4 linked regions of the Xenopus tropicalis genome follow. Each later gene encodes a partner of the first gene's protein in a complex. Links are inferred from orthologs where the notes say so. Each region holds a gene or a part of one and is shown in the gene's direction. Other genes may lie near its edges.

The links.
Region 2: seh1l (region 1) and nup37 share a complex: the UniProt entries of both Homo sapiens proteins name them as parts of the nup107-160 subcomplex of the nuclear pore complex. The link is inferred for Xenopus tropicalis from reciprocal best matches to the Homo sapiens genes SEH1L and NUP37.
Region 3: the proteins of seh1l (region 1) and wdr59 are in contact, whole or in part, in a cryo-EM structure (PDB 7UHY), measured with the Homo sapiens proteins. The link is inferred for Xenopus tropicalis from reciprocal best matches to the Homo sapiens genes SEH1L and WDR59. Residues at the interface, in NP_112493.2 of Homo sapiens: Asn308, Tyr309, Met310, Asn312, Lys314; in NP_085058.3 of Homo sapiens: Pro713, Asp714, Glu716, Thr717, Pro718, Arg721, Arg837, Glu840, Gln843, His844, Asn847.
Region 4: seh1l (region 1) and nup43 share a complex: the UniProt entries of both Homo sapiens proteins name them as parts of the nup107-160 subcomplex of the nuclear pore complex. The link is inferred for Xenopus tropicalis from reciprocal best matches to the Homo sapiens genes SEH1L and NUP43.

The regions. Positions count from the first base shown.
Region 1 is NC_030682.2:103,474,336-103,482,454, reverse strand, and holds the start of seh1l (nucleoporin SEH1), read left to right. Parts: upstream 1-3,158; 5' UTR 3,159-3,221; coding exon 3,222-3,332; intron 3,333-5,444; coding exon 5,445-5,495; intron 5,496-7,349; coding exon 7,350-7,496; intron 7,497-8,119. UniProt on the Homo sapiens protein: Component of the Nup107-160 subcomplex of the nuclear pore complex (NPC). The Nup107-160 subcomplex is required for the assembly of a functional NPC.
Region 2 is NC_030679.2:49,127,010-49,134,990, reverse strand, and holds the start of nup37 (nucleoporin Nup37), read left to right. Parts: upstream 1-3,192; 5' UTR 3,193-3,224; intron 3,225-3,247; exon of another isoform or gene 3,248-3,391; coding exon of another isoform or gene 3,392-3,413; intron 3,414-5,143; coding exon of another isoform or gene 5,144-5,175; coding exon 5,176-5,331; intron 5,332-5,979; coding exon 5,980-6,104; intron 6,105-6,886; coding exon 6,887-6,959; intron 6,960-7,613; coding exon 7,614-7,708; intron 7,709-7,981. Other genes in the region: parpbp (PCNA-interacting partner), read right to left, coding at 1,062-1,211. UniProt on the Homo sapiens protein: Component of the Nup107-160 subcomplex of the nuclear pore complex (NPC). The Nup107-160 subcomplex is required for the assembly of a functional NPC.
Region 3 is NC_030680.2:74,562,727-74,570,991, forward strand, and holds the start of wdr59 (GATOR complex protein WDR59), read left to right. Parts: upstream 1-3,345; 5' UTR 3,346-3,527; coding exon 3,528-3,581; intron 3,582-4,973; coding exon 4,974-5,023; intron 5,024-8,265. UniProt on the Homo sapiens protein: As a component of the GATOR2 complex, functions as an activator of the amino acid-sensing branch of the mTORC1 signaling pathway. The GATOR2 complex indirectly activates mTORC1 through the inhibition of the GATOR1 subcomplex.
Region 4 is NC_030681.2:58,287,764-58,295,772, reverse strand, and holds the start of nup43 (nucleoporin Nup43), read left to right. Parts: upstream 1-3,138; 5' UTR 3,139-3,431; coding exon 3,432-3,554; intron 3,555-4,376; coding exon 4,377-4,499; intron 4,500-8,009. UniProt on the Homo sapiens protein: Component of the Nup107-160 subcomplex of the nuclear pore complex (NPC). The Nup107-160 subcomplex is required for the assembly of a functional NPC.

The DNA.
Region 1 (8,119 bases):
GGCATCGCAAAGCAAAACCTTTATGGCTGAATAAAAGAGTTAAGGTCGAGGTTGGTAATAAAAAACGTGCTTTTAAAGCATTCAAGTTAGCTGGGACAGCGGAAACTTTCATCAGGTACAAGGAAGCAAATAAAGCATGCAAAAAAGCTATCAGGCAAGCTAAAATTAATTATGTGAATAGTAAAAAAATGAAGCAAGAAGGGGTGGGAACTTTATTATCACGGGGAGGTACGTTGGTTGATGAGAACGGGGAAAAAGCAGACATTTTGAACTCTTATTTTTCATCTGTCTATACATCTGAGGAGCCAGATAATGAAGGCTTCCCTTTTAATATACCCAGTGCTAGTAATTTAGCTACTGACGCGTGGGTCACTCAGGAGGAAATTCAAAAGAGACTTGAACATGTAAAGGTAAACAAAGGTCCAGGACCGGATGGGATTCATCCCAGGGTATTAAATGAGCTGAGCGCTGTGATTGCCAAACCTCTTCACATAATTTTTCAGGATTCGTTGAGGTTTGGCATGGTGCCGAGAGACTGGCGGATTGCTAATGTGGTGCCGTTATTTAAAAAGGGATCTCGTTCTCAGCCTGAAAACTATAGGCCTGTTAGTCTGACATCAGTAGTAGGAAAGCTTCTGGAAGGGGTAATAAGGGATAGGATAGTTGAATACATTGCAGTTCACAATACTATTAGTTTGTGCCAGCATGGTTTTATGCGTAACAGATCTTGCCAGACTAATTTAGTTGCCTTTTATGAGGAGGTGAGCAGGAACCTTGATGCTGGAATGGCAGTTGATGTCATCTACTTAGATTTTGCTAAAGCGTTTGATACAGTACCTCACAGAAGGTTAATGATCAAATTGAGTTATATTGGCCTAGAACATAATATTTGTAATTGGATAGAGAACTGGCTGAAGGATAGAGTACAAAGAGTGGTGGTAAATGGAACATTTTCTAATTGGGCCAGTGTGGTTAGTGGAGTACCGCAGGGGTCAGTCCTTGGTCCTTTGCTTTTTAACTTGTTTATTAATGACCTGGAGGTGGGCATAGAGAGTACTGTTTCTATTTTTGCTGATGACACTAAATTGTGCAAAACTATTCCATGCAGGATGTTGCCGCTTTGCAGAGCGATTTGACAAAATTGGAAAACTGGGCAGCAAACTGGAAAATGAGGTTCAATGTTGACAAGTGCAAAGTTATGCACTTTGGTAGGAATAATATAAACGCGAACTATCTACTGAATGGTAGTGTGTTGGGGGCATCCTTAATGGAGAAGGATCTAGGGGTTTTTGTAGATCACAAGTTGTCTAATTCCAGGCAGTATCATTCTGTGGCTACTACAGCAAATAAAGTGCTGTCTTGTATAAAAAAGGGCATTGACTCAAGGGATGAGGACATATTTTTGCCGCTTTATAGGTCCCTGGTAAGGCCTCACCTTGAGTATGCAGTGCAGTTTTGGGCTCCAGTCCTTAAGAAGGATATTAATGAGCTGGAGAGAGTGCAGAGACATGCAACTAAACTGGTTAAGGGGATGGAAGATTTAAACTATGAGGTTAGACTGTCGAGGTTGGGGTTGTTTTCTCTGGAAAAGAGGCGCTTGCGAGGGGACATGATTACTCTGTACAAGTACATTAGAGGGGATTATAGGCAGTTGGGGGATGTTCTTTTTTCCCATAAAAACAATCAGCGCACCAGAGGTCACCCCTATAGATTAGAGGAACAGAGCTTCCATTTGAAGCAGCGTAGGTGGTTTTTCACGGTGAGGGCAGTGAGGCTGGGGAATGCCCTTCCTAGTGATGTGGTAATGGCAGACTCTGTTAATGCCTTTAAGAGGGGCCTGGATGAGTGGATCTAGAAATCCCACCTGCAGCCACTGATACTTTTCTACCTTAAAGTGGCCATATACCTTACAATTATTATCTTTCGTACGATCATTGGTTGCTGGAAAGATCACTCCCACCCTCCACTGACATTCAGGGCTGAATCGTCAGATATGGAGGTAGAAACAATAGGGATACTACCCTTATCTAACGATTTAGCCCTAAAGGCAAATTTTGATTGGGCATCATCAAAGTTTTTTGTCCTGCCCGTTCAATGATGTGATCGATATGACCCACCGCACACGCACCGAATATCGAAACCTCATTTCGTACGATATTGGTGGGTATATGACCAGCTTTAGGCCAATGACATACGAGATTAGTTGCCCTGCAATTAATCGCCTCTAGAGGTAGCAAGTAATCTCTCTTCAGTTAAGTGAAGTAATCCAAAGGTTTCTTGCGATTTACATTCTTACCTGTAGGAAAGAACTCGGGGAGATTATTTGCCACCGCTAGAGATTAATTTTCTTTGTGTCATCAGCAAAATAGCATTGTAATCATTGTAAACGTGATAGGCCATGGGGAGATTAGTCACTCGCAGTTAAATCTGGTTATAACGAATGACTAATTTCTGGCGTTTTCTGAAGTTGTGCAGTTTCCAAAACTATTGCGACTTTGGAAACACGTGCACCTTTCTGCCAGCAATTCCCCGCAATGCCATCCCACCACCTAGAATGTAAATCGCCAGTGGGATGGCATACGCAGCACCACAATTTGCCAAAGTTGTCTTGAGAGGAAATGGCTATGCCGCGTATGCCATCCCACCAGCGAATTTCATTTTAGCCCGTAGGATGGCATTGCGGGAAGATTAGTAGCCCATGACAACAGAGTTTTTTTGCACAGTGACTAATCTCCCTGTGTGTCACTGGCCTCAATTGTGGGCGACAAATCTCCTCAGGGGCCGGCACCTTCACTATGGCTTCATTGGCGTTATTGCTTGTGACTGGGCTGCAGGGCTACTAATCTCGCCCTTGGGGCGCACATAGCAGCGCTTCTGTTTTACAAGCCGTGGCTCTGAATAGTAAACAGTTCAGCGAGCAGCTCGAAACTAGCTCAGAAGATAATAAAATTCCTAGAAAGCTAAATTGCGCGGCCTACCATCACACACAAATACCCTCCCCCTTTTCCACAGTTCGTACGCTGCGTATTTAGAATGCGACCGGATGGATGAATGTAAAAGCGCGAAGTCTTGCGCAGGCGCGTAGAGGTTCTGATGCTGTGACGTCAGGCTCATGTCTGGGCCATGAAAAAAAAAAAAATCCATGCTGCTTTCTGACGTCTAGTTCGAACCGCTAAACCAACAGCCCTGTCCAAACTGCTTGACACTCCGACTTGTGCACTATGTTCGTGGCAAGAAGTATCGCTGCCGATCACAAAGATCTCATCCACGATGTGTCGTTTGATTTCCATGGCAGGAGGATGGCGACATGTTCCAGTGACCAGAGTGTGAAAGTAAGCGGGAGAATTTTGTGGGCACCCATCCTAAGGCCTTCCTGCTGTTTTTTTAACTGCACAACGCAAAATTAGGAAGCGTGTGGCTATATTTAATCCTCCTGTTCTATAGCTTCGTGCGGATATATTCTCCAGAGGATGTTTTCCGTTTGGTAAAACTGGCATAGCTGTAAACATGCTCCAAGATCCGAGTGGATGAGCCTGTCTTCCTTTTGCCATTTTTAGCTACCCCCCCTGCAGCACTGCTCACCTCTTATAGTACCCTGGTCATACCTGTTCTTTAAAGGCAGAATAGTGCAACGGGATTGGTGGGATCTAGGGTTGCCATCTGTTCAGTTTTGACCTTATGATGTTATTAACTTATATCGGGGATACCCAGCCTTTTATACCTGTGAGCCACATTTAAATGGAAAAAGTGTTTGGGAGCAACACAAGCATGGAAAAAGTTCCTGAGGGAGCCAATAAGAGCTATAATTGGTTACTTAATAGCCCCTATGTGGACTGGCTTTTTTATGCAACCAAAAGGTTGCTTCCTTACCAGAAATTCAAAAATAATGGGTTGGGGTGCAACATCCAAGGGGTTGGGGTGCAACATGTTGCTACTGAGCCACTGGTTGGGGATCACTGCCTTATATGTCACTGCTTTGCCCCCAATCATTCCACCCTTTTGTTTGGTTTTTGCTGAGGGCAAAGTTGGCAGACCTACCCGGATCTGTGTTGCACATGCATCAGGTTGGTGATCGTTGTATAGAGAACATAAACACTGCACCAACCCTGTTGCACTGCTATTGATATAATATAGGTACAGTAATTGCGGCAATATTAGGGGACCTCAGTGGTGTGGTTTGGGAGGGGGACTCCTTTTGAGGGGCCTAGGGTTTTTAAAGGGCATTGGTTTTCCTTTAAACCAAAATAAAGATAACACCAAGCAGCTCTTGCTAGGACCACTTATAATGCTGGTGCCAGTTTTTAATTGCCTTAACACAAATATAAACAGTGCTCCAGCCTATCAATACATAGCTCTAAGCAGCACAATATAACTCAGGGAGGGGGGGGGGGGGGCAGGCCACCTCTATTAGAAAAGATTAGCAGCTTGGATTTATTTAGGCATAGTGACACATTCCTGTTTTGACTGGAACATGTCACTTTCCCTGTAAGGGACATATTTATTCAACTGTGAAAAACTAGCTTCCTGTTAAAGCATTGGCTTTTTATGCATACTACACATATCTTGACCTTTTCTTGATTTGATTTAAAAAAAAATAAAAAATCCCCATTTACACAATTGTTGGATTTATCCAGGAAATGTTCTCCAGTTATGATCAGTTGAAAAACATTTTATGCTTTTGGTCAAAACTTTCTTGTCTGCTGTTCTTGTCAACCAGGATGAAAAGTCATGTCAGGTTTTTCAAACTGTGTAAAGTGCTGCAACAGTGCTGGTTGACCTTCAGATTCACTTTTAGTATGTTATAGAATGGCCTATTCTTAGTAACTTTTAAGCTGGTTTTATTTTTTAATTAGTTGCTTTCCTCTCTTGACTCTTTCCAGCTTTCAAATGGGGGGGGCACTGATTTTTTTTATTACTTAAATTTCTATTTAGGTCATACTCTGTTAATATTCCTGCCTTTCTTTTAGATAGTTGTCTGGTTGGTAGGTTAAATTGCACACTAGCAACCAGATAGCTAGTGAAATTCCAAACTGGAGAGCTGCTGAACAAAAAGCTAAATAACTCAAAAACGACAAGTAATAAAAAATGAAGACCAATTGCAAAATTTCTCCAAATACCATTCTACATCATACTTAAAGTTAACTTTAAAATAAATTTCACTCAGAAAAAATCTAATAGGAAAGAATGATAAATACAGCAATATTTCCTGGCACTTAGTACGCCGGTGACAGTGTGACCGTTGATAAATGTGGCTTTATATGTCCGCACATGTTGGAGTTATCTAAGCAGATAACTTTATCACCCCTTCACCTATAACATGTAGTCTTTAGGTCTGTAAACCTATTACTTATATATATAAGCTAAACAAAATGCCTTGCTTTTTACTCTCACACCAACATGTGGCATGCTGTGAATCAATCGGGGCTATATATATTTGTTTGTAGGTTTGGGACAAAAGTGAAAATGGCGATTGGCATTGTACTGCAAGCTGGAAGGTAAGTTACTGTCCTAAAATATCTGTTATATGCATACTATTTATTGGGTATATGCAAATAAAATGCAGTGGAATTTTCAGAAAATGATATTAAAGGGGAGGCCATTATATCAAGTAAGTGTAAAACATAGAGCCGCATTAAAGGAGAAGGCAAGATATAATCACTGGGAGGTGCCAAAATGTTAGGGGTTGTTAGAGGTTGGATTTTAGTCCTATGACATGCAGAGGTGCTGTTGAGGAAATCAGTGTCAGTCAGAAATACCCATATTATCTGTAACAGCTTGGAATAGCAAGTCTAACAAATGTTATGTCTGTTGTAGACAGAAGCAGTGAGAGACAGAGACTGCTTAAAAAGACCAAAACAAGCATTTCTACAACAGCAACATTGTGACCAAAATTACAATTCTGAAGGTTTCTTCCACCTGCAGTAGACAGATCTAAGTTAATTTCTGCACTAAAAGACCAGTAAAACAATAAACAAATACTGTATATACTCGAGTATTAGCCGAGTTTTTCAGCACCAAAAATGTGCTGAAAAAGTCACCCTTGGCTTATACTCGAGTATATGGATTTGAAGATGTAAGTGTCCCCCCCCCCGTGAATGGTCGTACGTGCGTGCGCTTGCCTTTTTAAGTTGGGAGCGCACACGGCAGAAATCCAACAAGCTGTTTTGTTTGGATGAGCTGTTAAGTATTAGGGTGATATTCAGCCACGCTGGGTGACAAGTTGCACAGCTCTGAAGTCAATGGGAAGCAGACTGTGGTGGACATCAGGTATTTTTTTTACCGCGCTACAAATATAGACAATCAAAATGTTCCATGTGAAAATAGTCTAAGTCCCCATTATGGGCCACTTAGACAATAGAAAGCTCTCTGGAGGAGCAAACAGCTATTTAGTAGCTTGAAGGCAGCATTACGGGCTGTTCAACCAAGGTTTGGGCCTCACAGCAGGATGGGAACGCACACAGCAGGATGGGAGAGCACACAGGGGAGCGCACACAGCAGGTTGGCAAGTACTTAGTATGGCAGCTTTCTTAGCCTTCCCAAACTTGCCTGACAGTTAAAAAAAAAAAAAAAAAAAAACAACAAAGCAGTAGGAGCTGCATTTCCCACCCTAGGCTTATACTTGAGTCAATAAATTTTTCCAGTTTTCTTAGGTAAAATTAGGTACCTCGGCGATCGGCTTATACTAGAGTATATACGGTAAATAAACTGTTTCGTATGTGTTTAATTTTAATATACTGCTGCCTTGCACTTACTGGTGTATTAAACAGGACATTTCTTGTCTGGAAATAGTTTTTCTAGATGTTCAATCAACAGATACTAACTAGGGCCTAATTTGCTAGTCCTTTTTTAAAGGGACAGTATAATGAAAGGAAATGTCTCCATTGCCATTAAACAGAGCAAAAGGTTTAGTGATTGGGTACTACTGGGAAAAGCTGCCATGCTTCAATAATGAAAAAAAGTTTATTAGTTATTACAGTATTATGAGTGGCGGATTAATAGCTGTTGCTACCCTATGCAATTGTTGCATGCTTAATACTGTAAATGTGCATGTGCCAGTTGGTGGAAATTGGGTACTCAGCCCCTCATCTTGTTTGTTAATTTAGCCACTAGAATCTAGTGGTGGTCTGGAGCTTTAAAAAGAAAATGCTATATACACCTCTGCTACTGCTCTAGGCACAAACCTTGTGTGCTTGCATAGAAAACACAGCCCTCAATATTAGCATGCTATTCCTAAACGCACACATATTTAAATACACTGTATTTAATGCACAGAGCAGTCGGAGCAGCTTGTAATTTACTTTAACCTTTGTATTCTGGAAGGAAAATGTTATTTTTGTCTTGTTCTTAAGACCCACAGTGGTTCAGTATGGCGGGTAACATGGGCTCACCCAGAATTCGGCCAGGTATTAGCCTCATGTTCGTTTGACAGAACTGCTGCAGTGTGGGAAGAAATAGTTGGTGAATCAAATGATAAACTGCGCGGACAGAGTCATTGGGTAAGACCTATTGTCAGATATATGAGCACATTTTTCCCAGTATTGAGCTTGTTTGAAAACTGTATATATGATTATATGATAATTATATTTTGATTGCACCTTTTCAATATACACCTGGATGTGCATCATTTTTGTCTATATATAACATCATGAGTGTTCAACTGGAAGATTTGTAATTTACCCCAGTATGTACAGTCTGAAAAATGTGGGCAGTCCTTTCCAAATTAAATATTTAGTAAATTTATAGTAAACAAATACAGTTGAATCAGAAACCGCATATTTGCAAACATTAATTCACAGATCCATTTTATTTTGCAAACTTTAAAGCATAGAGAAGTATAAACAAATGCAAGAAATTATGGCATGTGCAAAGGTTTGGACACCCTTTCACCTGACCCTAATTACCCCATTAGGCCTTAATATCTATTAGGAGTTGTCAACTGTTAACATTTGAATAGCATAATGAAATCTCTGTTAGTCAACAATCATGGACTCCATAATGCAACTGTGCGAACATCTGACAAAGTTAATTGTCGCCATGTCATCAAGAAATGGCAGGGGAAGGGGAACTGTGGAAGTCTAGAGACAATCTGACAGAGCAAGATTAAGAGCAAGACTGGTGT
Region 2 (7,981 bases), on another chromosome or scaffold:
TGTGTGTAACTTGATCCTGTCTCCTGTTCTGAGCTACACATGCCCACCAGCCAATCAGAAGCAGATCTGCCAGAGGGGAGGGGGGTGGTGGGAATGAAACACATGTGCAGTATGAAGCAAGGAGGGAAAGGAAGGGAGAATACCTTTTTAGAGATGGCTGCCTGTTCTAGAAAATGTGAAGTAAGTGTGACTGAGTAAATATTTGATTAGGTGAGCCAAAAGTGTGGTGTTTTTACTAAACAATAGGAGGACTATTGGGCAGTATGCTTTTTACATTTTGACTTGCATTCTCCTTTAATGTTAGATGGTAAGGTACATCACCTGCAGTTAAATATGCGATATCATGAGCAACAAATCAATTAAAAATGCATTTCCAGTGCCAAACATAGAACTTGCAGCAAGTAAAACATACTGCTTGCAGCAATCAGGCTTAACCTTATGAAACAGTCTCCCTTGCATTTTCCCACTATTAAAGACAGAACGCCGTGAGTTACATTTAACTTGTGGCAATCGCAATGTTAGGCAATGGTAGTGCAAGTAAAGCTTTAACTGTAGGCCTTAGCGTTGTCCTTAGTGTTTTAGCAACATACATTATGACTTTTGAAAAACAGACGTGGGTACCATACTGGGCTGTAATACATTTTTTCCTGTTAAAAGTCACAACAGAAATTAAAAAAGACAAGTGATAGCATTTGCTCTAAAGTATCATATCCTCAAAACTTTTACTGAGCCCCGTACTGGCAATACACAACCAAGCATGCAAAATATGTCGATTACCACCCAAATGTACCAAGAAAGATCCTACAGCAAGAGTTCACACAAGCAAAGTTGGGTATAAGCTCAGAGTGAAAAGTTCCTATATATTTTAAATGGAGCAGTGTTTCTAATATGCATGCTGCAAATATGGCAAAGCAAACAAATCCACAGAACATATTTACACTTAAATTTAAATCAGTGGATTTAATTTGCTGTGCTCATCCAGTCAGACTCCTACTTCAGTTGTCATGTTTTTTTTTTTTTTTTTTTTTTTTTTAACACAGAGAGGCACAAACTTAATTTACCTGTTTATTAACCTCAGCAAGAGCCAGCTGTAAAGTCAGAAGCATATTGTCTGCTCCATATATTGTCGTTCTCTCAGAATCAGACACAACAGGCCACTCTTTTCGAAAGTATTTGATTAAATCCAACACATTTTCAAGTGGACAGTCCATTTTCAACCTAAGGGGGAAGAGAAAAGTTTAGTAAAGACAGGAAAAAAAAAAATAAGTACAACATTTTACCATTAGATAAAGAAAGAAAAGAAGAATCAATCACCAGGGATGGTGAGTTGCTTGGCACCCCCAGTGGTCGTTGCCACCTGTAGCATCTGCCCAGATGCCAATCCCCACCTTACCCACCCCACACTCACTTGTTTTGTGTTGCTAGCACTGAGCGTACAATTGTACTTTCTGCACTAGAACTTCTAGAAGAGATGAATTTTGGATTAAAAAAAAAAAAAAGAAAGAAAATTTGTATTTAAAAAAAATAAATAAAAATCTGGCTCTTGAAGTTACCAGAGGCAGCTTTCTGCTGCCCCTATTAACCAGCCATGCACTGTTCAATGAAGGAGCAGTCTGGGCTCGCCACAATAATAAAGCATAAACCTGTAATACTCTATAGAACATCAGCACTGTAACAGAATTAGAATCAGCATAACTCATCTTCAAATTAGAAGTTTATAGGCTAATGATCTAAACAGAAATGCTTTTATCTGAAAGGATGCAACCTTCAGGTGATCCCATATTCTATTTGAGCAGTATATTTAGGTCCTTCAATGGTCAGGACAGTTTCAAAGTAAATTGCATTCCTGAGCACATCTCCAGAGCAAGTCTTATCAGCTACTGCACACTGTTTTATTGTTTACTGTCCTAGAGTCCAGCTTCAAGCACAACCCCCCTAAAACTCCCTTTTCGTTCCCAAGAACTCCCTTCTGCAGAGCCTTTTTCTATAACGTGTAATTGTAAGACAATATAAAAACCCCCCAATCCTTTGTCTAAGTATTCTTAGACTCTTGCTCAGAATCTGTGATAAATAAACTTTTTCTACCCCAAATGATATCCGGTATCTGAATTTCCATAACAGTAGCATATCTTAACCTGATGTGGTCACCCAAGTCTTTGGCCAAATCAGGCTACAGGACCATCAACCAGATAATATGAGATAGCCATGCATTGCTGCTTAGCCATCATGGCCTACATCCATTCTGGTACATTCCTTGTCTATAGGTATTTTCTTCAGGTAAATAAGGCTCTCCCTAAGTATGGGAAATATATATATATATATATACACACACACACACACACACTGGAACAAGGACAGCACTCAACGTTTCAGTCTTACACAGAAACCTTAATGGTCTCCAGATGGGTAATAAACCTTTCTATTTTTGCATTTACATTTTGCTCACAATTCTTTAAATCCTAGGAGTGCTGTCCTTGTTCCAGTGCATGTTTTTGGTACTACCACCCAGGTATGCACCCTATGGACAGATGACAGATGATAGATAGACAGATAGATAGATATTCTATGCAAAGAAAATCATAACACAAACACAACTCCCCTCACCCCACTACTTAAAAAAAAATAATTACACAAGTGAATATGTATAAACATTGCAAAGACTTAATAGAAAACAGGCCAGGGATGGGGCTGTTCCCGTTAGGACTACTAACCTTTAGCTGTCTGCCTACTGCTTCGCAGCAATATGTTGTGCCTGCAAAACATATATTTTTTTTTAAATGTGGCTTAATTACATAGAGGGTGAATGGTATGCTATATGTGTGGGGGGTTAAGAGAGAAGCAGCCATGGGGTCTAATGAAGAGAGAAGGAAATATTAAAATATTAGACAGGTGTAAAAAAAAAAAAAAAAAATTTAGTATAGAAGCAAAAAGTAGATAGTGTATGTACATCATACTTACTTGTGGGGGTTGAGACAGAACGAAGTTACCACCAGAAGACGCAGCTACTATTCTCTCTATCAAACAAAACAGCAGCTGTTTCTCCTTTCAAAAACCTCGTACGTTCGTGGGACTTTTAAATTTTCGTAGCGCCACAGAGTTGCCTAGATTCAGCCAATCAGCGTGCGCGACCTAGAGCCCCGGATATGATAGGTAGTAGGAAGGGGATTCGCTCGCTTTGAAAGAGAACTGCAAATCTACTGGCGGGAGCAGGGCAGGCTGGGTCGGTGTGTATTGGTGATACAGCGGGGTTTCTGCGGTTGCTGAGATAGTTATAACTACGGAATATGAAATGTTTTGGTTGTAGGGTACATGGTCTGCGTATATTGCCAAAACGCGGCGTGTATTAATGGTGGCGGGTGGCTTTGGTAGAATGCGATTTCACCCGCTGTAAATGTGTCAGGCGTTTGCCGTCTGTAAGTTGATCGTATACAGTTTGAGTGCTTGTTTGTAGTAGTAGTAGTAGTAGTAGTAGTAGTAGAAGTATGCGTGATGTATATATGTAGGTTCTTGTTTGTCGTATAGTAGAAGAACGATATATCAATTGAACAAACGGGTGTATGCACTATAAATAAAATAAATACACACTACACAAAATTAAAGACAAAAGGAGGTCCCTGCCCAGTCTAAGTAACTTTGTTACAGTGGTTGTTCGCTTTAACTACTAGTATGATGTAGATCGTGCTCTGAGACAGTTTGCAGTTGGTCTTCATTTTTAATTGTAGTTTTTAAATTATATAGCTTTTTCTTAAGCAGCTCTCCAGCAAGTTCAGCATCAGTCTGGTTGCTAGGGCCCAATTTAACCTAGCAACCAGGCAGTAGTTTGAAAGACACAGGAATATGAATAGAGGAGGCTCGGAATAGAAAGAAAAAGTAACCATAAAACTGTGTCCTCAGCTTTTTGGAACCACCCCTTTAAAGCAATACTGAAATGTTTCCATAAAAATCCATTGGAATGTGTCCGTATTACTAACGAGTTGCAGAACCAAAAACCTTCTGCCAAAAGCCCACTAACACTGGCCCCAGCGCAGCAATAATTTACCTGAGGTGACACTCCAACATGGCTACAGATTCCTTTGCAGTTGTGTCAGTCATGCTGGGCTAAGTGTGGCTTGATCCTTCCATAGGCAGTTTTTATTTGTAATTAGCCCGTGGAAACTTTGCGTGACAGAGAGCCTTACGGATTCTTCTATCTGTCTCCTTCCTGGGCTGGAGGTGGTGCATTCCTTGGGGACTTTTGGCCATAAATACGTTGGTGCTGCAACTCTTCAGTAATAGTGACATGTTTTCTAGGAATGTGTCAGTAGTATTTTAAAGCGACCATAAAACTTTTTTGTGTATATCTAGCTCTACGAGGGCATGGACCTCCTTACTGCTGTGTCTTTTAGAATTTACATTGTACTGCGCTGCATTACTGCATTTTCATGTATTCATGTAGCACTTCATAAATACAAAATTTATAAACATACATACATATGCTCAACATAGAACTGCCCCAAGTATTATGCATTTCAAAAATACACTGACCAAGGGCCTACGCAATTTTGGAAACTGATAAGTGCAAACTGATCTATCAGCAAGTTTAAGGGCTCTGGCACACTAAGTAAGTCGCTGGTGGGCAAATTTCGGCAAATCGCCTGCGCAGCGTGTGCCATCCCACCGGCGACTTACATTTTCGCCTGTGGGATGGTAGTTCGGGGAGATTAGTCGCCTGTGACAAGGGAGATTTGTCGCGGGCGACTAATCTCCCCGTGTGCCAGAGCCCTAACAGCTGGAAAGGGTCTTTTTTTTTTTGCACTTTTTCTTTCATTAAAAGGGAGTCTCCATCTGCTCTGCTCCGTCTAAGGTCCTTATCAGGGTCAGGGTTAGCAAGAGCCATGCTGTCGCTGACTGTTTTTAGTGTGTTGAAGCAAACCAGAGTACACAGAAGAAACCCTGCACAAAGGAGAGAAAACACTACTTCTTCTTGCAGAGAATGCCCAAGCTGGAATTAACCTCATGTGCACACTTGAGAACACATGTGACTACAGCCATCACAGTAACACCTGTGTTGTAAAAAATGGCTTAATAAGGGTGCAAAAACTGTACCCTTTTAATATAGCATAGATCTATACATAAAATTTGAAGATTTTCTTTTTCCTTTTAGCACTTTTAGAAATAAGAAAACAGAAGCAGACTATGAAGCAAGATTCAACAAGTAATGCCACCTACACAGTGGACTGTGAAGATTATGTGCATGTAGTAGAATTTAATCCCTTTGACTCTGGGGAGGCAGGCTCTTTACTAGCTTATGGTGGAATTAGTTATGTCGTTATTGCATCTTGCAGGTTTCAGGTATGTACATGCCAATTATTTTTTCATTTAGTGGCTGATTTAGGGTAAAATTGTAGGTGTGTACATTTTTTTTACTCCAGGCCATTGTGAGAGTCATATGGAATCACTTGGAAACATCGGTTGATAAATGAAAAACTTTTTAATGTTGTGAAACATATATGTAAATTACTATTATGGAGTCAGCATTGACTACAGCAATTTTCCTAGTAGATAATCCACTTCACATTAGGGGGGCAGGGTATGCCTTTTTAGAACAGATAATATTAAGCCTAATGATCCTGATTCTGTCTTTTAAGTATAATCGCCGTTGGAAAGGCTTTTGCATCTCTTTGGTTCTCCAAAGTCGTGCAAAGTTTCCAGCTGTAGGCAATTTTGGAAAGCTGAAGAGATGTGTAGACTTTTCCACTGGACTATAACCTTTGTTTCTGGTGGAAAGGCGAAAAAAAGTGTTTTGGGACCCAGTGCTCCATTGTAAACTACAACTTCTTATAGTTATACTTAACATATATAATTTTAAAGAAGAAGAACCACTATATTTTGCTTGAATTCTTAACACAAAGGGCATCATAACTGTTGTATGGAACTGCACTAATATCCAGCCTACTAATATACTCATACCTGTGCCTATACGTGATATTTCATTTTTAGGAAGAAGATTCTGCTGTAGAAGGAATAGAGTTTAAGACCCTAAAAACCTTCCATCATGGAGAAAGAGTGGTTGCTATAGCCTGGAGTCCAGAAACACGATGTGATGCTTTACTTCCTCTACTGAGGTATGCATTTTTGGCTTTTTTAGTTACATACAGTACATATGTTATTTTTTTGACAGGGTTCTTATTATTTTTAGTATGTTGGTACTGTTATTTTTTTATTTTTTTTTTTTAAAATGGAACGCTTATAACTGACTTCTTATGGCACCTCAAATTGTGCAATCTTTGGACAGAAGAATGCAGCTTCCCGCTGCTGGAGATATGCTGGACTGTATATAATAGGCAGTCTTGCATTTCAGATTGTTTTCCCCAAATAGTGGTACACTTTGTGCTTGCTATTTTCAATTTGGGATCTCTACGTGACATACTTACATGACTAAGTACACTAATTTGCTTTATGTGTTTAAGAGGAGAATAAACACTTGACCTATTCCACTTTTTAAACCTACTTATAGATACACTATGCAGCCATTGAATAATTGACTGATGTGTTTTTTACAAAAATGTGTCCTTACTTCAGCAACAGCCCTTTTTTTGGTTGTGTCCATTACATTGTCTTGCTTGTCATTTCAGTCTACCACATGCTGGCAGATGTTCTCTGCTTCGCATAACTTATTCTTATGTGTCTTCTTATCATCTAATCATTTTTGAAGCTTGCCTTCTAAACACTTATTTTTGCTATAATGCTCCCTAAGCATCAAAGTTAGTATAAATATTGCACTGCAGAAAATAACGCTATTAGATAATCAGGTGATTTTTCTTTTCCCACATGCTCTCTAATCTTTATTCTCTAAATATACATTTAATTTACTTTTTTAATCAGAAAGCAATTATTTCTACTGTAGGTTTGCCACTGCAGCTGGTGATAAAAAAATAAGGATCTTTACATCAGATTTCCAGGACAAAAATGAGTATAAGGTACTGAATACTTTTATTTTTGCAATTCATAAGCCACTAATCATAAACATGCCACTATCCAGATAACTCTACAGACATTTGCAATAAACAAATGTAATACAAACAAATGCATTATGCATGTACATTACTTTATTGTTATTCGGGGGTCATGTAGCTAATTCTGGGTTTGAAACAGACATTTAGTGGAATTTTTCATGTGGTGTCATATTGAAGAATTTTGCAGTTTCATAGTGTTAGTAAAATAAGATCCAGCCCCCACTGCGTCCTCACTCCTGGCTACTACCTGTCACAGATGCAGCAGGAAGCCAGAGGACAAATCAGGGAGCAGGGATGCAGGGAGTGGGAGAACGCAGCAGGGAGTGGGCTGTAGTTTGAGGATGCAGGAAGGGGGGGGGGGCGTAGTTTGAGGACTACAGTCCGGCCATTCTGAGGGTCCATGAACTGGACCCATGTTTAAAAAGTTTGAGAACCCTTGCTGTAACCCATTTAAGATATGTGTCATGGGGAGCTTTAAACCATAAATGTGCAACCTTATAATTTGTCTACATGACAATGTTTGCATGGTTTCTTTCTTTTGTGTTAGTGGCATACACAGACACATTACATTTATTCCTATGTCATTTAAGCATTATTTTTTCATATTTTATTTTTCAGGTTATTGAAGGCCACTCTGGATACATAAATGACTTGGTATTTTGTTCTGCAGAAGGCAGTGATATTGCAAGCGTTGGCGATGACCACACATGCAGGTTGTCCTACACTCAGTTCTTGTGTGTGTTTGTGTTTCTAAAATATTCCTGCTAACCTTAAATGCATTGCGCAGTACACAGCACAACAAAAAGCTTTACACAGGCAGCTATTAAAATGCTTCAAGGTGACATTGTTATGCAGAACAGTTGTGGATTGCATACCAGATATTGTTGCATGATCTGCCTTCGTGTGGTTTTGCAATACAGGAAACCTCTATTAGGAATAATGCAGCTCTGGTGTTAGGATCACCTCTTGGTCTAAATATCTCTATT
Region 3 (8,265 bases), on another chromosome or scaffold:
ATCTATGCTGTCAATCCAAAGAGAAACTGCTTTTGCTACAGAGCTACAACTAGAGCTACAGTGGGCCGACAGGCAGCCCCTGAGACTTGAAAAACTTTTCTCAATTCAGATTCCGTCTTCCTGTCAATTGCATCCTTCAGGACTGAGGAATCATCAATAGGGAGAGTGGTTTTCTTGGCCAGGTGAATGACCGCTGAGTCAACAGCTGGTGGAGAATCCCAGAACTTGGTGTCCTCTCCTAGAAAGGGATACAGCCTAGAAAACCAAGAAAGAAAGAAAAAGAGCAAGAAAGAGCATACACAGAAACCCTTTTGGAACCTTTTGACCACTTTTGACCGGAAACATGGGAAAATGTTCCTTGGACTTGGCAGAAGATGGTAACACCTTGGGTTTAGAGGCTGATTCAGTCGGGGACTCCACCCCTAAAGCCAACTTAACAGCTTTGATCAATGGTGAGACCAAACTTAGATCAAAAAAGGAACATTCCATCTCTTCTTCCTCCTCCTCTGAATCAAGTGGAAGTGAGAGATCTGCCCTTCCCATTGGATTGTGATGGGCTAAGTCATCATCCGAGGAGACAGGATCCAAGGAGACATCCAAACAGGGCTCAGAAGATGTAGCTTTAGCGATACCCTGAGCCACGGCTTCCGAAATGCATGCCAGCAAACTGGAAGAAACAGCAGAGCCTGAAGCTGAAGGAGGAGACAGGCGGGACGGCTCTGCCAACAGTGAAAAACAATCTGCACATAATTTCTTATTCGGGAGACATCCTTGGTGCACAGTCTAAAAAAATTATAAACCAAATAAGCATAAAAAAGGCACCAAAAAGGATAAGATACAAGAGAAAAATTAAATAAATAAATACCTGCAATCAAATAGACCAGGAAGACTAGACGGCCACTGGATTAGGAACGTGTAAAAAACGCCCAGGAACAAGGCAGCACCTAGCTGGAAAAATTCATCAAATTTAAAATTTCAAAAATACCGCCCTCAAAGGAGCAACAACCAATAGGGAAGGTAAAACCATCCAGTCCTGGTGCTTGCCTGGTTTTAGGCGTTTGATTGCCACTGCTATTTCCTCATGTGTGAAATCTTTATTCATTAACTGTTTCATGTCTAGAGTGACCTGGAAGGTATTTTTGCAGGTAATTGTCTAGTTCTTTAGATTTTTCTTTTGTGTAAAATTGGTAAATGTTTCCACTATCTTATCTGGATTGGTTAACTTGCCATCCTTAAAAAATAAATATGCCCATGTATCCATGGGCCTAAATTGTTCTACGTTAAATTGGACTGTAAATATAATTTAATCTCCAGTGGATAAATAAGGATTTATAGGCCTTCACAATGGCAGGAGTAAAATTATTTGAGTGCAAATTAAAAGGAGGAGACTGGGCTGTTACTGTGGGAGACTGGGGGGCCAAACCCAAGTCTTTTGGGGTATACTAAGAGATTGCACTATAATTATTTACGTTAGGGGGTACATTTATGGTTAAAGTTACCCGTCTTAATGGCTATAGCTTAATGTTGTTATTGTTGCAATATACATAGGGGACTAAAAATGATAACAATTATTATTGGTATATATTTAATGAGGTTATTATCAAGCAACCCAGTCAGTTAAGGTTCTGTACCCTGAAACAGCAAAACATGCAGCTGAGGGTCTAAAGGTGGGAAGAAAGGAACAGTCAGCATTGGATTTGTCTGTAAGGTGGGAAATGGGGGTCCTGTTTTATGTGTTATTACAGTTTTGCTGAAATCGTCCCCAAATTAGTCTCAGTTCCCCCAAGAGACCTGTTTAGCTTATTAGTTACAATTGTATCTCAGTGCAGGTGTGGCTTTTTACCTTTCTGGGCTCTCTGCCAAAAGCTACTTATTTAATTAGGCTAATGTCAGACGAGGCGTCTGCCGTATATTTTCGGCAAGCGGAAAATCGATTGCCAAAATACCGCCATCTGCCTCCTACCTGTGCCTGCACCGAATGAATGTAATACGCTCAAGTGCTTTTCCGCTTGCCATAAATATATGCCAGACGCCTCGTCTGACATAAGGCTGATGCCACACGCGGCATAGGGCTGATTTTTTCGGCAAGTGGAAAAACGCTTGCTGAAAAATCAGCCCTACACCTGCTACTTGTGCCTGCACCCGAATGAATAGCAATAGCAGTATTGGGGAGCTCAACCCTCTGTTAACTTACCCAAACGGGTATCAGGTGCAAATACTGGAAGAACCTCACCTTGCATGGGGGTCAATATCCAACAGCAAAAAAATCCAGTAGCACACTGAAGATGCAAATCGTGAAAAAAATGTATTTTATTTGCCCAAGTACATAAAAACAAGCAAAGAGCAACGTTTCGGGACCCTCCGGACCCTTTCTCAAGCTTGAGAAAGGGTCCGGAGGGTCCCGAAACGTTGCTCTTTGCTTGTTTTTATGTACTTGGGCAAATAAAATACAATTTTTTCACGATTTGCATCTTCAGTGTGCTACTGGATTTTTTTGCTGCACCCGAATGAATGGGATACGCTCGGGTGCAGGCACATGTAGCCGATATACGCATGAAAACGCGAGAGAATGCAAAGTCTAGCGTTTTCATGCGTATATCGGCTACATGTGCCTGCACCTGAGCGTATCCCATTCATTCGGGTGCAGGCACAAGTAGGAGGCGTAGGGCTGAATTTTCGGCAAGCGTTTATCCGCTTGCCGAAAATTTCAGCCCTACGCTTCATGTGGCATTAGCCTTAGCCTTAAAAGCGAGAAACAATGTTTCTAAGTGCAGGTGAAGCTCAATCAGATTTCTGGGCTCTCTGCCAAAAGCTACTTTTAATTAAATTTGTATCTTTTTTTAGCTTCAGTGCAAGAGATCAAAGGGAAATGAGGGACTTTTCAGTAAGAATCTGGGACTGCGGGTTAAGCTGTCAAAAGAGGGAATGTCCTGCGAAAATCGGAACAGTTGGGAGGTATGTTGAAGCAGTAATAAATTATCCCTATTATATTGTATATTATCCCTATTATATTGTTATTGGTTTTTAAACTTCAGAGAACCACCGCTTGACCAGCAATAACTTATCAGACAAGCAAGGAGGGATCACAGCAGCAGCAGGATGAACAGATAATACGTTTCATGGTGTATATTAGTTATGACAGATCAGCCAGACCTAAATGCCAAAACTACAGCGCAATAACATTCATTTTTAGAAAGATTTATCTTAAAATTGTTCATGAACTCAGGTATGATTTTGATCTTTTGTATTCCCAGGTATAATCCTTTTTTCAAGGTTGACGAAAATCTAACTTTTATCTCCACATAAAATTTGTATTTTTAAGGCAGTGCCCTTTTCTTTTGATGTCTTCGTGTTATACACTGTTCCTTACACTTACCACATCGTCTTTAGTTTTCATGCCAATGTGAGAAAAAACTACTAGTCCCAGAATTCTCTATTCACTGGCGTTAAGGTGTTGCTCGGCGACAAGGACGTCGTGATGCAAGACGTTGTTGTTGTTATTGCGGCCGCCTGGTAAGTAGGCAAAGATGGCGGCTCACTGGAGCAGCGAGAACGTGGTGGTAGAATTTCGGGATTCGCAGGTGAGTGGAATAAATGCAGGAGCTGTGGGTTCACTGCAAATATCGAGCGCTCTAATCTGAACAACCTACAGAAAAATCGGCAGATAGAAGGGAGTGGCTTGCGCATGCCTAGTAGTAGACGCCTAATGATTGAGTCAGTTTTTAGCTGTCAGGGGAGGTAGACATGGCTCCAGTATGCCTGGACTTCTCTTTACAATTAGTTTTATAGTGTTTTGTATATTCAGGAGGCCATTAAGTGCAATTGTCAGATTGTTGACCTATTAAATAATGTGATCTACTGTTCAGTATATATATATATATTTTTTTTTTTCTTTAGCTCAGTCACGTTGCTTGTCCTAGTATCTAGAATTGTAGCACAAGTTCCAAAAGGCATGTCATTTTTAGTGTGGTAAAATGAATTTGAACATTTCCTTGTTTCCGTGTTCTTTTGTTTTCTCCTGCATTCCAAAATTATAACAAGCAGGATTACTGGCTTTTAATAAAAAAAAAAAAACTAAAGATTAATCCACTCTCTCAAGGTAACAGTGCTTCACTTACACATATAGTTGCCTATTGAAGCGCTGGGTGTAAAACTATGATCCCCTCTGCCCAGGGTCACTCCTTGTAGAAAGAAAGAAAGCCTCAGCAGCACGTAATGATGAAACAAAGGCGATTTATTCGGGCCACAAGTAAGGCAACATTTTGGGCTCTACAAGCGCTATTAAGCCTTAAAAGGCTTGATAAAGGGCTGGAAGAGCCTGAAACATTTCCTTACTTGTAGCACAAATATATCACCTTTGTTTCACCAAAGTGATCTATGCTCTTATACAGAGTTAATGAGAAATTCTTTAATCAAAATAAAATTTGCAGTGTTTTCTCTCCATCCCTCAGTGATAATTCGCAAGAGTGGCAAAATGCTGCCCCCCTAAGACTCTTGAAAGCAGCAGTATATATGTATACTGAATATATATGTGTTCTAGTGCCTAGCATGTTAAACAAGCAACCATAGAAAGAAGTATCTTGTAACAAAACCAGTACATAAAAAATGATTTTATTCAAGGTTTCATATTAAAATGTCAGTATACATACAAACCCTAGTATCTCCATGGAGTGTGTATATTTTTCCTGTGCTTGTATAAGTATGCCCTGAGCACTCCACTGTCCATAAGGGTGAATAATGGGACAGCTTGAAGCCTAAATTATACACTCATTAGGTTTTAATCTGGGCCCATCCATTACACTATATAAGGTAATCCTAGTTACTGCCCTAATAGCTTTGTATTGTTGTTTTATTTCTGTAAAAAATATTTTTTTCATCCTGGTCACAAAAAGAAAATATAAAATAAATCCACTATAAATGTATTATTTATTATGTAAAGAATCATAACTTGCAAATATGTAATGTTTTTATAGGCAACTGCTATGTCAGTCGATTGCCAAGGACAGCTTGCTGTACTTTCTGGGTAAGTTTGTTTCCAGGAAAAAAATAGTGTGCATAGTGTATTTATACATTTATTGATATAGCACTGTGCTGATTACACAGAGCTGAGACATCAGTGACCAGTTCAAGAGTAGTGCATTTGTTTTATGGATCTCTGTCTGTATAAATTGCCAGGATTTTTAAGATTGAAAGATTCAAAAGAACTTACATTCTAACTACGGAACTAAGGGACCTTTGGACAGTGGGGCACTTATTTAGGTTTCTGTTATAAGAACCAATATCTGGTTTAAGGCATTCTGAGTGCACTACTTATATCTTACTTTATCAGAATGCACATTTGCATCAGCAACTAAACAAAATGTAAAACAAAAAAAAAAAGCTTTTTGATTATTTTGTCTTTTAATACAGTAATTCTTGTGCCCGTGCAAGTGTGCATATTTGCTATAAAATTTGTTCTATTCACTTTTGCACCATGCTGGTTTGTACTGATATTGGTTTATATAAAACCAATATTAACCTTAAGCTGGCCATACACGCACCGATAATGTACAAAACCTCGCTTCGTACGATATTCGGTGCGTGTATAGCAAGTCGGCAAGTCGACCGATATCGCAGGAGGCTGCTGATATCGGTCGACTCGCCGATCGGCCAGGTTAAAATATTTTGATCGGGCGCCATAGAAGGCGCCTGATCAAAATCTGCCTTCAGGGCTGAATCGGCAGAAGGAGGTAGAAATCCTATTGTTTCTACCTCCTTATCTGCCGTTTCAGCCGTGAATGGTTAGTGGTTGATTGTACGATCTTTCGTGCGACCATCGGTCGGCTTCGGCACATGGTATGCGGCGGTGCGGACGAAAAGACACCGCGCACGGGCGCACACGACCGAACGTACGCCGCTCACGGGCACCCCGCGACTGACGCTGCACGCATGCGAGTTTCGAATTTAAGGACGCTGAGGCCTGTACACTTTGCGAAGTGATCATTTTTGCTTGCAATCGTCACCGATCATTTCTGGTATTCCTGATTGATCCTTGGACTTCTGATTTCAGCTTGCTTCTGACTACTCTTCGGTTACCCCTTGGCTTGACTTCGGACTCTGACTTCTGATTTGACCCCGGCCTGTTTTATGATCTTCTCTTCTGCATTTGGTGCCTGATTTTGTGTATTCACCTGGGCTTGGACTTTCTTGCTCACGTACCTACGTAGGTACCTACGTCACTCCTGCTATTCTTCAGCTGGGCCTGCTACTGTTACCACATCCAGTGTTCGGGCCCAGTGGGAAGCGTAGGACAGGCTAGTTTTCATCGGTCTATCGCGATATCTGATAGTATCACTTCGCCATGGAGTCTGGTGATCAAGCGGCCTTTTCCTCTGATGTGCTTTTCCAACAATTAGCAGCGCTCACCCAAGCAGTCCAGGATTTACAGGGGTGCTATCAGCAACTACAAGTTCAGATCCAGGGCCTTGGTGTGACAACAAATCCAGCCCCAGCCGTTCCTGTGAATCCTTCTGTTTCTAGTACAATGGGTTTCCAGCACACTTGTGAGAAGTTTATCAGAGGAGTGCACGCAGCATCATATGTTCACCTCCACATACCTTCAGACTTCAATGTATGGGAATAGCAGCACTCATTTTCATAAAACCACCTTTATTTTACATGTGGCACAGACACAGCAACATTTCTGACCTCCTGGTCCTTTCTCAAGCTAACAAAGAATCCTTCTGTTTCTTCTGGTACTGCAGCTACTCACTTGCTGGTCATTGAACCCAAGATGCCTCTGCCCAAGCGTTTTTCTGGTGACAGAAAGAAATTTCGTGCTTTTTTAACTGACTGCCGTTTACTATTTCTTCTAAAGCCCCAGATGTATGCTTCTGAACAAACTAACGTTGGACTGGCAATCTCTTTGCTATCCGGAGAGCCAAAGACCTGGGCACATCGACTGCTGGAAACTCGGAGTCCTCTGTTAAGTGACTCAAACGCCTTCTTTGGTGCCATGGCACAACTCTATGATGACCCTAAGAGATCTGCAACAGCTGGCAAATGCCCAGTTGAGGACTTTGTAACTGAATTCCATACCTATGCCACTTATACGGAATGGAAGATAAAGCTCTTAAACATCAGTTTAGTTTAGGGTTAAGTGGGTCCTTAAAAGATGAGCTGGCCCTTGTGGGAGTCCCTGAGAGTCTGGAAGATCTTATTGAACTGGTGATTCAAATAGATCGATGACTATAAGAGAGATGTGCCGAAAGATCTAATCCGGCTTCGTCATCCTGGGTTCTTTCTAAGGCTCCTTTTGTTCTACAACCCCTTACTTCTGCTACGCCAGTGGAACCTCCTGAACACATGCAGATTGGCCTTATCAGGATCGCCATCTCTCCTGAGGAAAGATTCTGAAGAGGGCAACATAATCTATGTGACTGCGGTCTCCCTGGTCACTTTCTAAGAGATTGTCCTACCCGGCCCGCGGGTAAGCCACATAGACCGACTTCTTCTTTTTCTACTCCCACTATTTCCAAGGACATTCCTCTGCTAATTGTCCCTATCTCCCTACAGTGGTCCCAAGGTCTTCTAAAGAATCAAGTCATCATTGACTCTGGAGCCTGTGGTTGCTTCATTGACGCTACTTTTGTCAAGATCTACAATATTGCTACACGTCTGAAGCAGCAACCCCTTCTTGTGAAAACAGCAGATGGCTCCCAGATCTCTTCTGGACCGGTGACTTTTGAAACTGAGCCACTTTCTGTGATTATCAACTCTAATCATCTAATCATTTATCCTTTGATGTGGTATCCTCTCCTCTTTTCCCGTTAATCCTTGGTTAACCCTTCAATAAATTGCACTGGTGTCATGAATTTCTCCTCTGAGAAGCTGTATTTCGCATTTCCTATCTAACTTTTCTGAAGCAAGATCTCTGGCCTTGTGCTCCATACAAGACTCTTGGTTTAAGTCTCTACCGCATTATTTACAAGATGTCTTGATGTCTTTGATGCTAAAAGTGCAGATACTCTTCCTCCTCATCGAGTCTATGATTGCCCCATAGAACTATTACCCGGGGCACCTATTCCTTTTGATGTTTCTGAATTATTGGCTATTAAAGCGGCTTTTGAGGAATGGCGTCACCTTTTCGAGGGAGCGACCCACCCTATCATCATTTTTTCTGATCACAAAAACTTAGTATATCTCTGTACTGCCAAACGTCTTAAACCTCATCAAGCCAGGTGGGCTTTGCTTTTCTCCCGTTTCAATTTTCATATTACCTTCAGA
Region 4 (8,009 bases), on another chromosome or scaffold:
AATCGTTCTTAAAGGACTTCACCCCCCCCTCTAACTTTGTCATTGGTACCTATGTGTACCAAGACCGCCAGGTCTTCCCCAGCCCCTCCCAACAATTGTCCACTCGTTCCACCACATGATGAACCCTAGCACCAGGCAAGCAACACACAGTTTCGCATGTAGGGTCTTTGCAACAAATTACCCTATCCACCTTTCTAATAACTGAATCCCCTACAACTATAGCCTGCCTTCCCTTCCAAGCACTACTCCCCCCACCTGTATTAGAGGTGCAGGCTCTCAGGGTGCTCTGACAGTCAGCCTGCTCCATACATGCTACCTCAGAGCTGTCTTCCCCAGCATCTTCACCTAAAGCGGCAAATCTGTGGGTTTGTACAAGCTGTGAACCAGCCCCCCTACCCTTGCATCCCCTACTTCCCCTCTTAACTGTCACAAACCTGTCTCCCTTATTAACCTCCACTGTCCCTTCTCCACCCCCCACTACACCGGCCCCTGCCAGTGGTTGCTCAGTGAGCCTCCTGTTCTCCCCCATGTTTGCAGCTGCCCTCAGTGCTGCCAGTTCCCCCCCTTAGATTCTGCACCTCAGATTCCAAGAGGAAAACCCACCTGCATCTCTCACAAGTGAATGCTGTATGGAACTGCTGCTCCAGGATCACATACATGTGACAAGATTCACACTGAGTAACACCGGCAATCATACTGGAACTCATATTGCCACTGGGTACTTACAGTCTCCCGAGTGCAATCCCTCGTATAGTGCCTTTTTAGTTTTAAACACCCTTTTGTTTTTAACGCCTGCTAAACACTTATATACACTTATGTATATCAGTTGGGCACGTCTCCCCCATCCAAATGACATTATTTGTACTGCATATATCCACTCTGTTTCCTAGCACCATCACATTATTCTAAAGCAAATATTAGCTTTCACCCGGTCATCATTTTTCCTCTAATACCTTATCAGATACATTTAAATCTGCAAACAGCCTACACACACACAGACCCTTATTCAGCATACATTTCATCAAGAATACAGGCTAACATAGGCAGAACTGTCTTTGATAAAATTTCTTTGTTTAAGCTGAGCTCAGGAGAGGACGTTAGGAGAAAAAAATTGAAGCAGACAGAGCAAGCCAAAAATCAAAGCAAATTCCTGAGGGGGGGGGCGAGTGGGTTACAGGAGGAGAAGGAAATCTAAGTGATTAAGGAGATGCTGCAGCCTTACTATTAACCTCTGGACAACCAGTGTGGCAGGTATTGAAAGATTTCAAAGAGGCTGTTTACTGATTCAATTTTTGTGTGTGGGGTTTACATGTCCTTTAAGACTTTTTTAATCAAAGGGAGACTGTAAAAAGTTCATTATAAGATTTGGCTAGCTGGAACCAGGCTTTGACATTGCATGAGTTCTCGCAGGGATATAAAAGGTTGAATCAATTTCATTGTCTGATATGGATCACCTATTTCCTTTATCTCCAATTTTTGCAGGTTACCATGAGACCAGAGAACTGACTACATTTTTGGAAGCAGTTAATCAAATTCACTAATTAATCAGGCTAATAAGGGGACTCTGCAGTGTCAGCTGTGGATTGTCTACATACAGGTTTATTTTATATTCCTTGTCTGCTTTTTGGTAACCCATTACTATCTCCTTATGGTGATAGGTTCAGTTGCCAAGGAAAGTAAAAGCTGTGTTCGGGCCCCAAGTGCCACCCTGAGGCTAATGCAAAGAGCGCAATAGCATAAAAAGTAAATATTGCTTACATAAACAAACTGGACCAGCTAAATTTTTTAGAACCAAATGTAAATATGCTCACTTAAGGGATTCAAACAGCACATTTTTTTTACTATATGTAGAAAGTTTATTTCTGTCAGGTGAAGTTTGTATTATTTTTTATTTTTGTGGGGAGGGCCAGACCATTTGGCAGTGTATACAAGAATTTTAGGAAAGTATATACTGTACATGGCAGTTTAGGGAGAGCCCATTACATAGCTAAAGCATTGGAAAAATGCTACCTTTTCATCTCTGCTAGCTACAGTGCTGTATTTAGGTTTGGTGCCTGTTGGGTTCACAGTGGAGTTGTGCAGGATAAGTAGAAAGTCAAGCTGGATAACACATGTAGCTGAGCTAACATTTAGGCATGCAGCTCCCTCTAGTGGTACACAACAATGCCACTCTAGACACCAGACCTAACTATACCCCCTACTTTGCAGATGTGACATCATTGTGCCCGTGATGTCACATACCCCTACGTTGTGAAAGTGACTTCACATGCTGCATGTGCGTGGTGACAATTCTGCAGTGCAACCCAACCCCCTACCATGCACCCCCAGCTCCATTACCAGATTTACTAAGGACTCTGGCACACGGGGAGATTAGTCGCCTGCGACAAAACTCCCTGTTCGCGGGAGTGCCATCCCGCCGGCGACTTACAAGTTCGCCGGTGGGATGGCGGGTCATGGCAACTCGGGGAGATTAGTCCCCCGCGAACAGGGAGTTTTTGTTGCGGGCGACTAATCTCCCTGTGTGCCAGAGCCCTAAGGCTGGGGGCATATATATATTTTTAAATTGTAAATGTAATATATAGGTGCATATTTGTAAAAACTGTATAACTTTGCCCTTCTCACCACATCCCTGCCCAATTTGCCTATTTATGTTATGATCACGTCTCCTTGTCCCACCTGCCCCTTATGTCACCGGCTCGCCTCTTCACTATGTGGCCAATATGTTTCTGTACAAAATGTGGCAACTTTAGGTACAGCCCAATGTGCTTTCCTCCTATAATTTATAAGGTGCATGATATACAGTAAAACCCCCATTTTACATTTCTCAGGAGACCAGAAAGAAATGATGTAAAATTCCAGGAAAATGTAAAAGCAAAGAAATGTATTATGCATTAAAAGTCGGTGGGTCCACCTAAACAGTGTAAAATGTGGGAAAACCCAAAATAAGGTTATTTAAAATTAAGGTTTCACTGTAACACAAACATAAGTCCCTCTTAATTAAATTATTAGGCCACAAGCAGGACTTCTATATGTTAACCGTTTGGTCTTGTATTCCTTTACGCTGTAAAACCCAGTATGAAAGGATAACGCTATATAATTAATAACAAAGTATGTTTAGCGCAAGCCATAGTCACTGAACTGTACTGTGGCAACGAATGCGTTAATAAACGCATTTCATTTTATTTCCTTACTCCGATCACTGGTCACCTCAGCGATTACTCTGTAGAAAGTATGGCGGGGAAATTATAGCCAATGAAAGTACAGTTTGGGTTGTTGAGAATTGCCAATCAGAACGCTTGTGGCAGACAAGGCGCCGTCTGGCGGCTTTTTTTCAGGCTCTGCCTCTTTTTTTCAACATAGCCCTGTAATCTGGACGTGTTCGTCATTAAGGGGGTAGTGGTGGCATAGCCAACCTCAAAATTAAGGGTGTCATGGACGATAAATTCGCTGCAAAATTTGTCTCTCACAAAATTAGCAGAACTCGCTGGCGCCCAGTGTCGGCCTCGTCGCTGCAGCAACCGGATGTGTTTGCTACGGGTTCCTGGGATAATGAGGTATGGTTGTGGCACGGGGAAATGTGTTTAACCAACATTCGGAGTAAACTAAAAATCACAATGATACGGCTGTAGGTGATCTATAATACCCTGAATCCCCTGCTGTCAAACTCTTACAGTTATTTAAACTACGGAAGAGCAGCATTTCCCAAGTATTACATGGTTAATTTAGATCATTGTAATAATTGTGCAGCCATGTGTTTGTACTCATTGACGTATTACCCTCTACAAGAAGCTTACAGTTTCCTGTAACACAAGAGCCCTGGGTACACTTAATGGGGGTTGGTAAATCTAGTCATTTTCCTAGCACAATTTTAATTATTATTGACACAGCACACCACAAAGTGCCAGAGTGTGATGTAGTTCCACTGATGGCTACAAATGTCAAATAGCACTGCCTTAGAATCCGAATCACGAATGGGAAAAAATCGTATTGGAAACGAAAATTTCGTAAGATCGCAAATATCACGTAAATGCTTATGACAAAATCGTATTAGTCACGATAATATCGGATTGGCGACCCGAAAGTCATGAAATTTTCATACCGAACAATTGTAAACAGCGGTAAAACCTTTCCGATTTTTTCGTGCAAACGTCTGAAAAAGTTGAGCGTCGTATGAAAAAGTCGTGCGGACGCCCGAAAAAATCTGCGAAAATACGCTCGGAGCGTTCACATGAACGCTCGTGCATTCGTGCTTTTGTAAATGTGCCCCTTAGTGTTAAGGCATATCAAAGTTTGATATATTTAGTGAAAGTTTTGCATACAGTTTTATGACATGTCAATACACTACATATACTGATTTTTTTTTTTTAATGCTCAAGGAAAACAAGGTATGTGTGTGGGCCACTTCAGACTTTGGGGCCATAAGTCTAGAAGAAGAATACCAAGGAGATCCTAAACAACTGTGTGACATCAGACACATTGGCGATGTTATGGACATGCAGGTACCTTAACAAAGGAACTTTTTATTTACACTACATAATTACATTCTGTTGTTTCCTCTACATAAGGATATTCTTATCTCACTAGCCAAGGGACCAATTGCCCCCATACTATATAAAAAATAGCCATAAAAGAAATGAAACTGTATGAAATCCCGGCCCTTGAAGAAATAGGCTATTCAACTACAATTTATTCAAATTCACTTTTCCTTAATAAGTTCACATAATAATTTTATTTATTGTATTGTCATAGTTGGTGCCTATTAATAAGTGGTGGAAAATGAGAGGGCCCTTTTGTGTTTGAACTTTTCACAAATCTTAAGACATCAGGCAAACTAATTATAATGGTATGCTAGTTTGGGTCAAGTCATAATAGTGAATTATTTGACTTCATTAGATATTGATTGGAGTAAAGGTCCCCATACACCTTCAGATTCCCTCGCTTGGCGATGTCGCCAAGCGAGCTGATCTTCTCCCGATATCCCCCACCTATTGATGGGCGATATCTGGAGAATCCAGGCTGATTTGATCTAATTATAACGACGGTATAGGCAAAGTTGGTTCAGGGTCCGCATCAACAAGCCGATGGGGTCCCCGATCCGACTAGGTTTTTTTAACCTGCCCGATCGAGATATTGGTTGGGCAGGCCCATCAGTAGTGCCCATACACTGGCGATTAGCTGCTGAATCGGTCTAACGGACTGATATCGGCAGCTAGAATCGGCCTGTGTATGGAGACCTTAATATTAGTGTCAGAACAGTTAATTTAACAAGTTTACAAACTTACTAAATAACAATTTTATGTCACAGATTGTTCAGGGCCCCTAAAGGAATTATGCTATACTTGACCTAGTGATAAAACAAATGCACTAGAAGCCCAGGGTAATGGTGACCATAATGTTATCTAAATGAATATATGAGTGTTAAGCTGCATGATATGTGGGAGTAAGTAAGTTAATAGGAATGAAGAGGAAGGCTTTTAAAAACTACAAGTGAGGGGACAGATGATTCTTGTAAAGAATGTTAATACCACAAGTGTTGTAAAGCAGCAATAGGGAAGGCAAAGGTGAAATACTTTTGGAGATTAGTCTTTGCCTGTGCAGCAATAATCTCCTCATTTTCAAAGTATCTAAGTTATAAAAAGATGTAGGTGTGGACTGTGGAAATGGAGGTGATTTGGGTATAAAAGACCATAGAAAGCAAATGTGCTTAAGGATTTCTTTTCTACAGTGTATACAGTAGAGAAGTTGGGGTTGCAAGAACCACTAGGCAAGGACACAGATGACTCAGCTCTATCAAGTCAATTGATGACTCAGGACATGGTACTGAGTCACAGTATGTACTGCCTGCCCTATGTTGCCTTTGTGTATGGCACAGGCAGCATAGGGCAGGCAGAGTATGGCACCCACAGGCAGCATAGGGCAGGCAGAGTATGGCACCCACAGGCAGCATAGGGCAGGCAGAGTATGGCACCCACAGGCAGCATAGGGCAGGTAGAGTATGGCACCCACAGGCAGCATAGGGCAGGCAGAGTATGGCACCCACAGGCAGCATAGGGCTGGCAGGGTATGGCACCCACAGGCAGCATAGGGCTGGCAGGGTATGGCACCCACAGGCAGCATAGGGCTGGCAGAGTATGGCACCCACAGGCAGCATAGGGCTGGCAGAGTATGGCACCCACAGGCAGCATAGGGCTGGCAGAGTATGGCACCCACAGGCAGCATAGGGCTGGCAGAGTATGGCACCCACAGGCAGCATAGGGCTGGCAGAGTATGGCACCCACAGGCAATATTCTACCTGCCCTACCCTGCCTGTGTGTGCCATACTATGCCTGCCCTATGCTGCCTGGGTGTGCCATACTCTCCCTCCCCTATGCTGCCTGTGGGAGGTGAACCAGTATATAAATGCTGGGGGTTGCTGTGCTATCCACAAGGGAGGATGAGGTATATGGGTTTAAGAGTGTGTCTTAATATGACATAATATAATTCTTTCACATATGGATGAAGGGTGATATCCTTACAGTGAGCACCTACTATTTGGGTTTTTGGCTGCTCTACCACCATTAATGTGGGTATGATTTTAAAAGCTCTTGTGATAACATGGGTGTGGTTTGAAGTGGGTGCAGTTTAAAAAAGGGGAGTGGTCAAAACTGGCTTCCATTATCAGCCCTCCACCATATAGGCCAGAAAAATTCAGGCCCTTGTTTCCACAGAAGTTGGACAGCACTGCTATAAACCCTTGAGTACTATGAGAGCTGAGGTCAGTTTTAGCCAGGCCACTTTTCTGATTTTCCCTACTTGCTTGCATGTGGTTTGGTACCTATGGATTGGAGGAAATCTAATTTAATTCCAATATTTAAAAATGGATCCTCCAATCTTAGCTTGGCAATTATAGACCCATAAGTAATGGACATGCTTATTTAAAGGTTTGTAAAGGGATCACATTCAAGATTATGATTTGGAGGATGGCATTCTAAGTAGTAATCAATAATCAGCACTATGAAGGACAGATCATGGACACATTAAGCATTTTTTTAGGATGAGGTAAGTAGAATAGTGGAGTTGCAGTAGATGTGGTCTACTTTGAATTTGACAAGTTCACCATAATGGACTATCTTCTAAACAGGGATCCTCGAACTACGGCCCGCCAGGGTAATTTTTAGTTATGAGGAAAGGCTGACCCATGTTTACACTGTAAAGGAGAAGCTTATAGTAACTGAGTAGTGATTACAATCACTTACCTGATACCCCAGGATGGTGCTCCTGGCTGCTATAAAGTTCACTGGTCTGGGCAACTACTGTAAGAGCTCTACTTTACAATCATTATCTTCTGGATCATCTTTTACTGTTCTGGTTTGGGTGCACATGCACAGTAGTGTGAAAAGCTAGCATTTCTCTCTACTGTGCATATGCAGTACCGAAGAGAAGATCTAAGAAGGGGAAGAAGATTGCAAAATGGTGCTGCTACAGAAATACCCCCATTTACAGCTAACAGAAGCACCATCTTAGGGTATCAAGTAAGTGATTATAATCACTGGGAGGTGCCTAGCATAGCTTTTCTTCTACTTTAAGAGGAGTTAGGATGACTATGTATAAATATATAAGGGGACCATAATATAAACTCTGTTTTATACACTAGTATGTCCTTCCAGCAGACAAGGGAGTCTATTCTGTCATTGATCAGTGGTTGAAAAAGGTTTTTGGATGGAGTAATAGGGGCCTCTCCTAGGGTGATATATACCTTTTTCTAGACATTTATTGATTTGTCTCTGTCATTACATTTGTTAATGAGTTAAGGACCACAAATATGCTACACATTGTAGCATGATTCCTACCTAAAGCATGAAGCAGTACCTCACAAATTTTGCCTATCACTGCTTACTTGAGGTAAAACTAATCCGTGTTAGACCTTAAGGTCATCAATTGTATACTGCTAAAAAAAAGTGCAGGGGGAGAAGGGACCTGTAATTGACTAGCTATCCATATAGCTTATTCTTAAGGGCGAAGACACACAG